Regions from separate parts of the Mus musculus genome. Here region 1 is reported to be linked to region 2. Evidence: microRNA targets listed by miRTarBase, many of them from high-throughput screens and not tested one by one. Region 2 holds a microRNA gene; the other region holds the end of a gene's coding sequence.
Evidence for each region. The annotated mature microRNA mmu-miR-669o-5p reads UAGUUGUGUGUGCAUGUUUAUGU and lies in region 2 at 4,834-4,856, shown strand. An mRNA with a match to its seed (bases 2 to 7 or 8) in the 3' UTR can be bound and repressed. Matches are read on the target gene's strand: a 7mer-m8 pairs with bases 2 to 8, a 7mer-A1 pairs with bases 2 to 7 and ends in A, and an 8mer does both.

Region 1: the mRNA of Ghdc is a reported target of mmu-miR-669o-5p. Seed matches in the 3' UTR shown: 7mer-A1 at 1,679-1,685.

Annotation. Positions count from the first base shown.
Region 1 is chr11:100,761,203-100,768,055 of GRCm38, reverse strand. Ghdc (GH3 domain containing) reads left to right here. Exons shown (of 9, transcript NM_031871.1): 7 at 1-42; 8 at 687-772; 9 at 1,032-1,724. The coding sequence ends at 1,253. Hcrt (hypocretin) reads left to right here and starts at 5,125. Exons shown (of 2, transcript NM_010410.2): 1 at 5,125-5,235; 2 at 5,891-6,363. The coding sequence starts at 5,215. The coding sequence ends at 6,262.
Region 2 is chr2:10,509,485-10,516,337 of GRCm38, forward strand. It overlaps Mir669o (microRNA 669o), which reads left to right and starts at 4,816; the gene lies at 4,816-4,911. The region is part of intron 10 of Sfmbt2 (Scm-like with four mbt domains 2); the gene reads left to right. Mir297b (microRNA 297b) reads left to right here and starts at 2,183; the gene lies at 2,183-2,291. It overlaps Mir466d (microRNA 466d), which reads left to right and starts at 2,483; the gene lies at 2,483-2,578. It also overlaps Mir669m-1, Mir669m-2, Mir466n, Mir466g, Mir466h and Mir669a-2, and 2 more genes.

The sequences.
Region 1 (6,853 bases), not on the chromosome of region 2:
CCAAGCTGTTGGACCATGTCTGTGTGGAGAGCAGAGTTCTGGGTAAGCATCTCTACCATCTCCTACCTCCGTTTCTTGGGTCTGGCTATCCACTGACCCATGTTCGCCCTGACCAGAGACATCTAGGAAGGAGATTAATCACACCCTTCCCCACTGTTCCTAAAGAAAGTCCCTCTCTTAGGGCTAGAGAGATGGTTCAGCGGTTAAGAGCACTGACTGCTCTTCCAAAGGTCCTGAGTTCAAATCCCAGCAACCACATGGTGGCTCACAACCATTTGTAATGAGATCTGGCCCCCCTCTTCTGGTGTATCTGATGGCAGCAACAGTGTATTTACATGAAAGAGAAAGAAAGAAAAGAAAGAAAGAAAGAAAGAAAGAAAGAAAGAAAGAAAGAAAGAAAGAAAGAAAGGAAGGAAGGAAGAAAAAAGAAAGAAAGAAAGAAAGGAAGAAAGGAAGAGAGGGGGAGGGAGGGAGGAAGTCCCTCTCTATATCTAACTTCCATCCCTACAGTCTCCACCTCTTTTCTTTCCTGATCTGTCTCATATTTAGAAGTCATTTGTAGGTTCCCCTCTATTCATCTCTTACCCCATTAAGCTTAGAAGAGGGGAGAAGTGAGGGTGCAGGGTGTCAGCCCTCGAAGCTGCCTTGTCCTCAGAAAGTCTGCTTTCCTGTGGCTTTATCCTCAGACTCCTGTGAGGGTTCTGCCCCACACTACGAAGTGTTTGTAGAGCTGAGGGGGTTGAGGAATCTGTCGGAGGAAAATCGAGACAAGGTAAATGATGAGACCTGGGTCTGATTCGAAGTCTCTTTTGCTCTACAAGCTCCCAGTTGTCATGGAGATGAGAGAGTTAAGGGAAGAGGATGGGCCTTAGGGAGGGGGCGGCACCCCCTTTCAGAGAATCTAGAAAGGAAGTATGGGTCCCACAACACACCAAAATCCTAAGTGCATGTGGCCTTGGATACGGTCATGCATATCCAGTACACATGCCACCGCATCGCATCATGGCCTTAACTCACTATTCTGCCCTTAGCTTGACAACTGCCTGCAGGAAGCCTCCGCACAGTACAAGTCCTTGCGATTCCGGGGCAGTGTGGGTCCTGCCAAAGTCCATCTGGTGAGGCCAGGGAGCTTCAGGGTTCTCCGGGAAGCACTGGCAGCCTTCTCCTCCTCCTCCTGCCGCCCTCCTGAAATGCCTCGGGTCATCAGGCTCAGGCACCTGGCCCAGCTCCTGCAGAAGAGGGTGATATCCTAACCAAGGCAGCCAGCCTTCCTGTTTCTGCCTCACTCTTTCCTCTGGAACATCTCTGGATGTTGAGTCCTGGACCAGATGTCACATAACAGTGGTCTGATTGGGTCCAATTGGACTCATTGGCAAGTTTTAAGATGCCGGCTTGGAGCACACAGCTGAACCCATCATCGATGGTCTCCCGTCAGCCTATCCTTCGTGAGACTGCTGGTCCTTCTCATGTGCTTGGCCAAGGTACAGCAAGGGCTGAAAGTGTAGGCAGTGCTCCTGGAGCAGATGAAGAAACCTCAGGCTCAGGGGTGGTGAGATGGCTCAGCAGGTAAGAGCACTGACTGCTCTTCCAAAGGTCCTGAGTTCAAATCCCAGCAACCATATGGTGCCTCACAACCATCCGCAATGAGATCCGATGCCCTCTTCTGGTGTGTCTGAAGACAACTACAGTGTACCTACATATAACAATAAATAAATCTGAAAGAAAGAAAGAGAGAGAGAGAGAGAGAAAGAGAGAGAAAGAAAGAGAGAGAAAGAAAGAAAGAAAGAAAGAAAGAAAGAAAGAAAGAAAGAAAGAAAGAAAGAAAGAAAACCTCAGCCTCATTGTTTCGTGGTCTAGGGTGTGTCTTGCACAACCACCTGAAGGGCTGAGGCTGTGGCCCACAGTGGCCCAGTGTTCAGTGCTCTTCTTACCAGATCCCCCCATCCCTCCATCCTCCTCTCCCCTGCTTACTCTATCATTCTGTTCCCTGGATCAACCCCCAAATAAAATTAAATATATATAAATATTAATGTATGTATTTTATGTTATCTGTGTGTGTCTGCATGTGTGCATGTGCACCACGCATATGTGAACGCCCTCAGAGGCCAGAAGAGGAGAGTGAATTCTCTGGAACTGGAGTTTCAGGTGGTTGAGAGCTGCTATGTGGGTGCTGGGAACCAAACCCAGGTTGTCTGTGAAAACATCAAGTACTTGGCTACGGAACCTGAAGGCTCTAGGCCTTCAGATAAAGCTTTCTTAGCCACCGGGCAGTGGTGGCGCACGCCTTTAATCCCAGCACTTGGGAGGCAGAGGCAGGTGGATTTTTGAGTTTGAGGCCAGCCTGGTCTACAGAGTGAGTTCCAGGACAGCCAGGACTGCACAGAAAAACCCTGTCTCAAAAAAACATAAAAAAAAAAATAATAAAAGCTCTCTTAGCCATATAGAGGACCCTGCTTTGGGGATGCCATGTGGGGTCCTCTACATGCTGCTTCAGCCACTATCTGGGCTCCCCACCAAAGCCCATCCATTCCCTCTCTATCCTGAGCTTCAGGGCCTTCACCTACTCTGCACACTGGCTTAGGTTTAGTCCCGGAATTGTGAGCATAGAGGAGGCCCTGGAGACTCCCACCAGGGTTTTCACAACCAAGTAGACAGATCTCCTCTGCCCTCCCATGCCAAGCACAGCTGAAAGAGCTGTTGCCAGCTTCCCTGCACTGGGTTCCTTCCTGGCCTGGCCTGGCCTGGCCTGCACAAATCACTTCCACCAGGAGAAAGGAGGAAACTATCCTTCAAGACACAAAGTGTCACAGCAGGAAGGAGTGTTGGAGTTACCTGAAGAGAGTGTCCATAGTAGTGAGGAAACTAAGTGGCAAGACAAGGAGACCAAGACCCCAGCTCCTCCCCAAGTCCAGATCAGGATCCAGCTTTCTGTTCTGGGCTCTTCCCTCCTCCCGTCTTCCTCCTCCTCCCTCTGCCCTCCTCCCTCGCCGGTCCCACATCAGCCTTTTTTTTAAATTTCTTCATTTATTTTATGGATATGATTACACTGTTGCTCCCTTTGGACATACCGGAAAAGGGCCATTACAGATGGTTCTGAGCCACCTTGTAGTTGCTGGGAATTGAACTCAGGACCTCTAAAAGAGCAGTCAGTGCTCTTTAACCACTGAGCCATCTCCCCAGCACCACCACAACAACCTCTCCCCCCCCATACACACACACACACACACACACACACACACACACACAGAGAGAGAGAGAGAGAGAGAGAGAGAGAGAGAGAGAGAGAGAGAGAGAGACCTGTCTTTTAAAATCCCCCACCAATGACTGCCCAGCCTAGCACACAAGGCCCTGGAAAACCCTATTCACCTTACCTTTTCCTTTAGCTCCTTTAGTTCCATAGAAACTGTGATGCCCACACCCCATCCCTCTGGAGCCAAGTACTGTAACATCCAAGCTTTTGTTCCGCGTTGTCCCTTCTCAGCCATACTCTGTCCCCTTACCTACCTAATGGAAGCTACTTTTCATCAAAGCCTTTGAAGGACCCTCTGCCCCACCCAGAAGGAAGTGTCTGTCTAATCTTTGCTGGTGTCTGGGTAGTTCTTGACCTGCTTTGAACTATCCTGGGCTCAGGCTGCACCCCACCCAGATTGACACCTGCCTTGGAGGAGGAGACCTGGAGGCTGGAAAGATGGTTCCATTAGAGCGCTTACTACTTTTTTGCAAAGGATCCAATCTTGGTTTCCAGTGCCTACCTGGTGGCTCACAACTCTCTATAACTCCAGTTCCAGGGGTTCCAAAACCCTCCTTTGGTAGTCACAGGCACCAGGCACATGTGCAGTATAGATCCCTCCACACTGGTAAGCACTCATACATATAAATCTAAAAATAAGAAAATTTAAGAAAATAGGTGGGCTGGGCGTGGTGGCGCATGCCTTTAATCCCAGCACTTGGGAGGCAGAGGCAGGTGGATTTCTGAGTTCGAGGCCAGCCTGGTCTACAGAGTGAGTTCCAGGACAGCCAGGGCTACACAGAGAAACCCTGTCTCGAAAAATCAAAAAAAAAAAAAGAAAAGAAAAGAAAATAGGTAGACACACAACTGTCCCTGCACCCATGCAGGACTGATCTACATCAAGGGCTTCTTTCTTCCTTTCTTTCTTTCTTTCTTTCTTTCTTTCTTTCTTTCTTTCTTTCTTTCTTTTTTTCTTTTGGGTTTTTTTTTTTGGGGGGGCAGGGTTTCTCTGTGTAGCTCTGGCTGTCCTGGAACTCACTCTGTAGACCAGGCTGGCCTCAAACTCAGAAATCCACCTGCCTCTGCCTCCCAAGTGCTGGGATTAAAGGCGTGCACCACCACTGCCCGGCTTTATCAAGGGCTTCTTAAAAGGACCCTGAAGGTGAACCCTGGCCTGGAAGTGGCTTGAGTCCTTGACCACCCACACCCTGTTCCATGGTGGCTCAATCCTGGAGATGGCAGAGTAAGACTACCCTCTTCTCTACTGGCCCAGGAGATGTCTACCCTTCATCAGCTTCTGAACTCCAGGCTTGGCTGCTCTCTCACCCGTGGCCCACAGTAAGTCTCCAGGACTTTCCATGGAGGAGTTTGGTGAAAGGGACAGAAGAAAAGGAGAGCTGGGGGGTGGGGTAGGGGTTGGGGAGTAGGGTGTCAAAAGCTGTTTCCATGGAGGAAAAGGCCCTGGAACCTGATGGACCACAGAGTCAGTGGGGGTGAGAGGGTATGCCACCCAGGTACCCTCCCTACCTTCAACATACCATAGACAGTAATTCTCAGACTGCCATTTCTGCCCCTAATTAGCAACTGTCCCCCCCCCCATTGTCTCCTTCCAGTGTCCCAGCCAAGGCCTCTTTTGTGAACTTAGATTCCTGGGTGCAAGGTAACCTCATTAGTACTCGGAAACTGCCCTATCTCCAAGGAACAGGCAGACAGACAAGCTGGGGACCAGGGACAGGGCGGCCATTCTTTGGGTCCAACCTGGAAACGGTTCCCCTGCAAGATGCTAATCTTAGACATGCCTTTGTCTGGTTTAAGGTGGACACACATACTCATGTCTCCCCCGCACACACACCTCAGAGCATTATAAACCCCTGGCCCCTGGAAGCGAGCCACTGAAGACGACGGCCTCAGACTTCTTGGGTATTTGGACCACTGCACTGAAGAGATCATCTCTCCAGATTACTTTCCCCTGAGCTCCAGGCACCATGAACTTTCCTTCTACAAAGGTAAAGAGCCAGAAACAGGGACATAAATCATCAGACTACTGAGGCCATGATAGTGCTTGCCGAGGACTGGGCTCATATGCTCTTTCTAGCGTGTAGCACTGAGAGAGGAGTATGGGTGGGTTCTTGGCAACCTGCCTCCTTGGTTAACACTGGGTACGCCATTGTGTGGGAGCTCACGTTTAATGAGTTCTTGTATTTCCGATGTTCTCTGTGCTTGTCAGTTATGTCTTGCACTCAACAGGGTAGTAGGGATGATTTTATGCCTGGTTTGTAGGTGAGGAAGGGCTATCCCAAGGGGGTGAGAAACTAGATCAAAGCCACAATGTACAGTTTCCCCAGCAAAGGAACAAACCTGCTGTGTGTGGAGGGAAGGGCTAGTAAGTTTGGTGCAGACAGACTTAGAAGCACCTGTCTGTGGGTGGAGAGTCAAGCCTTTAAATATGTTTGCACAGGACAAACTTCTTCTACCCCAGAGAAGCCTATGAAGGTTTCGAAGACGATAAGGCTCAGTTGTGTATTGAAGGATGAATTGACAAAGGAGCCAGCCGCAGGAAACCCAATGACAGCCTAGCAGGATCTATGGCAACAAGAGGTTCAGAGCCAACTGGCTGTGTGGAGTGAAACCCATTTGCACCTTGTCTCTGTCCCCCTTTAGGTTCCCTGGGCCGCCGTGACGCTGCTGCTGCTGCTACTGCTGCCGCCGGCGCTGCTGTCGCTTGGGGTGGACGCACAGCCTCTGCCCGACTGCTGTCGCCAGAAGACGTGTTCCTGCCGTCTCTACGAACTGTTGCACGGAGCTGGCAACCACGCTGCGGGTATCCTGACTCTGGGAAAGCGGCGGCCTGGACCTCCAGGCCTCCAGGGACGGCTGCAGCGCCTCCTTCAGGCCAACGGTAACCACGCAGCTGGCATCCTGACCATGGGCCGCCGCGCAGGCGCAGAGCTAGAGCCACATCCCTGCTCTGGTCGCGGCTGTCCGACCGTAACTACCACCGCTTTAGCACCCCGGGGAGGGTCCGGAGTCTGAACCCATCTTCTATCCTTGTCCTGATCCAAACTTCCCCCTCTGCTCGCCGCTGTCAGTCTCTTGGTAAATGGCAATAAAGACGATTCTCTGTTGGTGTGACTAATCTATGTTTCTGTGTGTCAAGTTCAGGCCTCCAGGGGGCGGGAAAGCATCTTGAGAATTGTGACGAGTCTAGGGCCTGGAAGCAGCTTGTGTTTCTCATTGCAAATACTTATTTGGTCGGGAAGAATCCAGCAAGGAACCTTGCAGTCCTGGGGTGTGTGCTACACATTTGGGAGGGTGGAAATGAGGTACCGATGTGCCCTCATGTTGTTCTACTACCTACTTTATTTATTTAGAAACAGGGTATCCTCGGTTGCCCTGGAAAGATCAGCATGACCTTATACTTAAATGACCCGATCTTACTACCCTCTATTTCCCCGGTGGTGTTGATACTGCAAGTGTGCTCCACCACGCCTCCTTTATGCAAATGCTGGAGGACTGATCCCGGAGCTTCATATATATTAATTAAGCAATCACTCTATCGACTGCTACATCCTCAGCCCCCACTGTTTTATAATAGGGACCTACACAGAGAGGTCCAATACAAGG
Region 2 (6,853 bases):
CTCACCAGTTGTAAACGATTGAAAGAGTCAAGAGGATCTGGAGTTCCAATTCACTCCTATGTTCAGCTAGATAGCATCCTGGTATTCATGTGATATCGCCCATGTGTGTGCATGTGAGTATAGTTGTGTGTGCATGTCTGTATTTGAATATACATAACATACACACACTAATGCAAGTACACACACACACACACACACACACACACACTCACACCAATGCCACTCATCAATCCATTGGAATGATGTGTCACTTAGAGTATTAGAGATTATGCAGTACTTGGCCAGTGAGTGCTCTCAGTCTCTAGGTGAAAATGCTTGCTAGAGTTAAGAGTATTCAGGAGTTAAAACACATACTGACCTTCATGAGGATTTAGAGATCAGCCTGTGATTCATGTGATGGCCCCATGATTGTGCATGTGTATATAGTTGTGTGTGCATGTTCATGCATGTATTTGCATATACATAACATACACGTATAAACGCAAGCACACACACATAGAGACACAAGAATGGCTTTCATCGATCCCTTTGAATGATATGTCACTTAGCATATTAGAGATTATGCAGTACTTGGCCAGTGAGTGCTCTTATTCTCTAGGTGAAAATGCTTGCTAGAGTTAAGAGTATCAGGAGTTTAAATTCATGCTTATCCTCATGAGAGATCAGCCTGAGATTCCTCCATGTATGTGCATGTGTGTATAGTTGTGTGTGCATGTTCATGTCTATATTTGAATATACATAACATACACACACACGTATAAACGCAAGCACACACACAGACACAGGAATGGCATTCATTGACCCATTTAAATGATATGCCACTCAGAGTAGTAGAGATTATTCAGTATGGGGCAAGTGAGTGCTCTCATTCTCTAGGTGAAAATGCTTACTATAGTTAGGAGTATCAGAAGTTCAAATTTATGCTTATCTTCAGCATGATTTAGAGATAAGCCTGTGATTCATGTGATGCCTTAAGTGTACATGCAGGTTTGTATAGTTGTGTGTGTATGTTCATGTGTCTATATGGATATACATAACATATACATAGACATATAAACCCTAGCGTGCACACACACACACACACACACACACACACACACACACACACACACACGAATAACATTCATAGATCCATTTATATGATATGCCACCTAGAATATTAGAAATTATTCAGTACTGGGCCAGTGAGTGCTGTCATTTTCTAGGTAAAAATGCTTGCTAGAATCAGGAGTATCAGGAGTTCAAATTCATGCTTATCTTCAGGAGGATATAGATATCTGCCTGTGATTCATGTGATTGCCACCCATGTATGTGCATGGGTGTATAGTTTTGTGTACATGTGCATGTGTGTATATGAATAGACATAACATGCACATACATATAAACACAAGCACACACACACACAGAGACACAGGAATGACACTCATCGATCCATCTGAATGATAGGTGACTTAGAGTTTTAGAGATTATGCAGTAGTGGGACAGTGAATGGTCTCAATCACCAGGTGTAAACCACAGAGTCAGGAGGATCAGGAGTTCAAATCCATGCTTAATTTCAGTTGGAGATCATCCTGGTATTTCTGTGATGCTACCCATGTATGTGCATGTGTGCTTACTTGTATGTGCATGTGCATGTGTTGATATGAATATACATAACATAAACACACGTGTATATGCAGGCACACACACACAGAAGAAATTGCATTCGTCGTTACGTTTGAATGATATATGACTTAGAGCTTTAAGAGTATGTATTACTGGGCCAATGAAACGTCTTACTTACCAGTAAAAATGTTTGTTATATTCAGATGGATCAGGGGTCCAAATTCATGAGTAATTTCAAAATGACATAGAGATCAGCCTGACTTCACGGGGTTCCCCCCAATGTATGTTTATGTGTGTATAGTTTATGTGCATGTGCATGTGTGCATATGCATATACATATACATCCATACAAACATATAGAAGTAGCACAGATACACAGACACACACACACACACCCATCAATCATTTTGAATGACAGGTGACTTAGAGTTTTAGAAATTATGCTGTGCTGGGCCAGTGAGTGCTCTTAGTCAAAAGGTAAAAATGCTTGCCAGAGTCAGGAGGATGAGCAGTCAAAATTCATTCTCAACTTCATGATGAGTCTGGGATCAACTTCGGATTCATGTGATGCCCCCAATCTATTTGCTTGTGTGTATATGTATGTGTGCATGAACATGTGTATATGAATATACATATACATACACACATACCCATACAAACATGCATACAAACACACAGAAAATGGATACTCATTGTTCTATTGAATGATATGTGTCTTAGAGTCTTAGAGATTCTGTATGACTGGGCCAGGGAGAGGTCACACTCACCATGTGACGCCCCTTGCCAGAGTCAGGGTGATCAGGAGTGCAAATTCATGTTAACTGCGTGATGAGGTAGAGATCAGCCTGTCATTCATGTGATGGCCCCTGTGTATGTGCATGTGTGTTTGTGTGTGCGTACATGTACATGTGTGTATATGAATATACATATACATACACGCACACATAGATACGCACGCACACACACACACAGGGATGGCACTCATCAATCCATTTGAATGATAAGTGACTTAGAGTGAAAATGCTTACTAGAGTTAAGAGTATCAGGAGTTCAAATTCATACTTATCCTCATGAGAATTTAGAGATCAGCCTGTGATTTATGTGATTCCTCCATGTATGTGCATGTGTGTATAGTTGTGTGTGCATGTTCATGTCTATATTTGAATATACATAACATACACACACACGTATAAACGCAAGCACACATACACAGATACAGGAATGGCATTCGCCAATCCCTTTGAATGATAAGTCATGTAGAGTTTTAGAGATTATGCAATAGGGGACATTGAATGGTCTCACCCACCAGGTGTAAAAGATTGACAAAGTCAGGAGGATAAAGATTTCAAATTCATGCTTAATTCAGTTAGAGATCATCCTGGTATTCATGTGATGCCACCCATGTATGTGCATGTGTGTTTACTTGTATGTGCATGTGCATGTGTTGACATGAATATACATAACATAAACACATGTGTATATGCAAGCACACACACACACACACAGAGAAAAAATTGCATTCATTTATATGTTTGAAAGATATGTGACTTAGAGCTTTAGCAATTATGTAGTACTTGGCCAATGAAACTTCTTACTTACCAGTAAAATGTTTTTCATATTCAGATGGATCAGGAGTTCAAATTCATGAGTAACTTCAAAATGGTGTACAGATCAGCCTGGCTTCATGGGATCCTCCCCAATGTATGTGCATGTGTGTATAGTTTTGTGTGCATGTGCATGTGTGTATATGAATAGACATATACATCCACACAAACATATACAAGCAAGCACAGATACACACACAGGAATGGCACTCATCGATCCATTTGAATGATAGGTGACTTAGAGTTTTAGAGACTGCAGTAGTGGGACAGTGAATGGTCTCAGTCACCAGCTGTAAATGATTGACAAAGTCTGGAGAATCAGGATTTCAAATTCATGATTAACTTCAGTTAGAGATTATCCTGGTATTCCTGTGATGCCACCCATGTATGTGCATGTGTGTTTACATGTGTGTGCGTGTACATCTGTGTAAATGAATATATATATATATATATATATATACATATATATATATATATATATATATATATATATATATATATAACATAAACATACATGTATATGGACACACGTATGCACACATACACACAAGGAATGGAATTCATTGATATGTTTGAATGATATGTGATTTTGAGCTTTAAAGGTTATGTAGTACTGGTCAAATGAAAGTTTTTCTCACTATGTAAAAGCTTGCCATATTCAGAGGGGTCAGGAATTCATATTCATAAATAAATTCAAAAGAGAGTAGAGATCAGCCTGATTTTATGGGGTTCCCCACAATATATTTGCATGTGTGTATAGTTTTGTGTGCATGTGCATGTGTGTATATGAATATACATATACATCCACACAAACATATACAAGCATGCACAGATATACACACACACAGAAATGGCACCCATAGATCATTTTGAGTGACATGTGACATGTGACATGTGAGTTTTAGAGAGTATGCCGTGCTGGGCCAATGAATGCTCTCACTCACAAGGTAAAGACCCTTGCCAGATTCAGGATGATCAAGAGTGTAAATTCATGTTGGTTGCATGATGAGTTGGAGATCAGCCTGGCATTCATGTGATGGCTCCTGTGTATGTGCATGTGTGTTTGTGTGTGCGTACATGTACATGTGTGTATATGAATATGCATATACATGAGAGCATACATAGACACACGTGCATGTGCGCTTGCATGCGCGTGCGTGCACACACACACACACACACACAGAGGATATGTGATTTACAGTCTTATAGATTATGTAGTAGTGGGTAATGAATGGTCGCACTCATCATGTGTAAACAATTTGCAGATTCAAGAAGATCAGGAGTTCAAATTCATGCTTAACTTCAGCTGGACATCATCCTGGTATTCATGTGATGCCACCCGTGTATGTGCATGTGTGTTTACAGGTGTGTGCATGTGAATGTATATATATGAGTATACATGTACAGACACATGCAGCACACACACACACACGAATGCCACTCATTGATCCATTTGAATGATATGTCACTTAGCATATTAGAGATTATGCAGTACTTGGCCAGTGAGTGCTCTCATTCTCTAGGTGAAAATCCTTGCTAGAGTTAAGAGTATCCCGAGTTCAAATTCATACTTATCCTCATGAGAGATCAGCCTGTGATTCCTCCATGCATGTGCATGTGTGTATAGTTGTGTGTGCATGTTTATGTGTGTATTTGAATATACATAACATACACACACACGTATAAACACAAGCACACACACACAGACACAAGAATGACACTCATCAATCCATTTGAATGATAACTGACTTAAGAGTTTTAGAGATTATGCAATAGGGGACAGTGAATGGTTTCACTCACCAGGTGTAAATGATTGACAGAGTCAGGTTAATCAGGATTTCAAATTCATGCTTAACTTCAGTTATAGATCATTCATGTGATGCCACCCATTTATGTCGATGTGTGTTTTCGTGTGTGTGCATGTGGATGTATGTATATGATTTTGCATATACAGACACATGCACACACATGCGGCACACACACACACACACAAATGACACTCATCGATCCATTTGAATGATATGTCACTTAGAGTTTTAGAGATTATGCAGTTCTGGGACAGTGCGTGATCTCACTCTCCAGGTCAAAATGTATGCTGGAATCAGGAGTTTTAGGAGTTCAAATTCATGCTTAACTTCATGATGATTTTAAGATCAGCCTGTGATTCATGTGATTCTCAGCCATGTATGTCCATGTGTGTATATTTGTGTGTGCATGTGCTTGTGTGTATGTGAATATATATATCATACGCACGCACACACACACACAAATGCAAGCACATACACTCTCACACACAGAGGAATTGAATTCATCCATTAATTTGAATGCTATGTGACTTATTCTTTTAGAGATTATGCAGTAGTGGGACAGTGAACGGTCTCACTCGCCATGTGCAAACATATTACAGATTGAGCAGGGTCGGGAGTTCAAATTCATGCTTAACTTCAGCTGGACATCATCCTGGTATTCATGTGATGCCACCCGTGTATGTGCATGTGTGTTTACGTCCCTGTGTATGCACATGTGTGTATATAAATATACATACCATAAACATACATGTAAATGCAAGCACACAAACATGGAATGGCATTCATTGATACATTTGAATGATGTGTGACATAGAGCTTTAAAGATTATGTAGTATTGGGCTAATGAAACTTTTTACTCACAATGTGAAAAAGCTTCCCATATTCAGAAGGATTAGGAGTTCAAATTTATGAATAACTTCAAAATGGCTTAGAGATCAGCCTGGCTTTATGGGTTCCTTCCCAGTGTATGTTCATGTTGCATAGTTTTGTGTGCTAATGTATGTGTGCATATGAATATACATATAAATACACACAAACACATACACACAGGCACACACACACACACACACACACACACACACACATACACACACACACACACACACACACACACATACCCCGAATGGCACTCATTGATACTTTTAAATGACATGTGACTTAAAGTTTTAGAGATTATGCAGGGCTGGATCAGTGGGTGCTCTCACTCACAAGGTGAAAATGCTTGCCAGAGTCAGGAGGATCAGGAGTGGAAATTCATTCTCAAATTCATGAGTCCAGGATCAGCTTCGGATTCTAGTGATGCCCCCAGTGTATGTGCCTGTGTGTATATGTATGTGTGCATGTGCATGTGTGTATATGAATATACATATACATACACACATACCCATACAAACATGCACACAAACACACAGAAAATTGACACTCATCGATCCATTTCAATGATATGTGAGTCTTAGAGATTCTGTATGACTGGGCCACAGAGAGGTCTCACTCACCAGGTGACGCCCCTTGCCAGAGCCAGGATGATCAGGAGTGCAAATTCATGTTCACTGCATGATGAGGTAGAGATCAACCTGGCATTCATGTGATGACCCCTATGTATGTGCATGTGTGTTTGTGTGTACATGTACATGTATATATATATTGATATACATATAAATACATGCACACATATTCATGCATGCACACGCACACATTAATGGCACTCTTAGATCCATTTGAATAACATGTGACTTAGAGGTGAGAGATTATGCAGTACGGGGACAGTGAGTGTTCTCACTCATCAGGTGTAGACAACTGCCAGAGTCAGGTCTATCAGGAGCTTAAATGCATGCT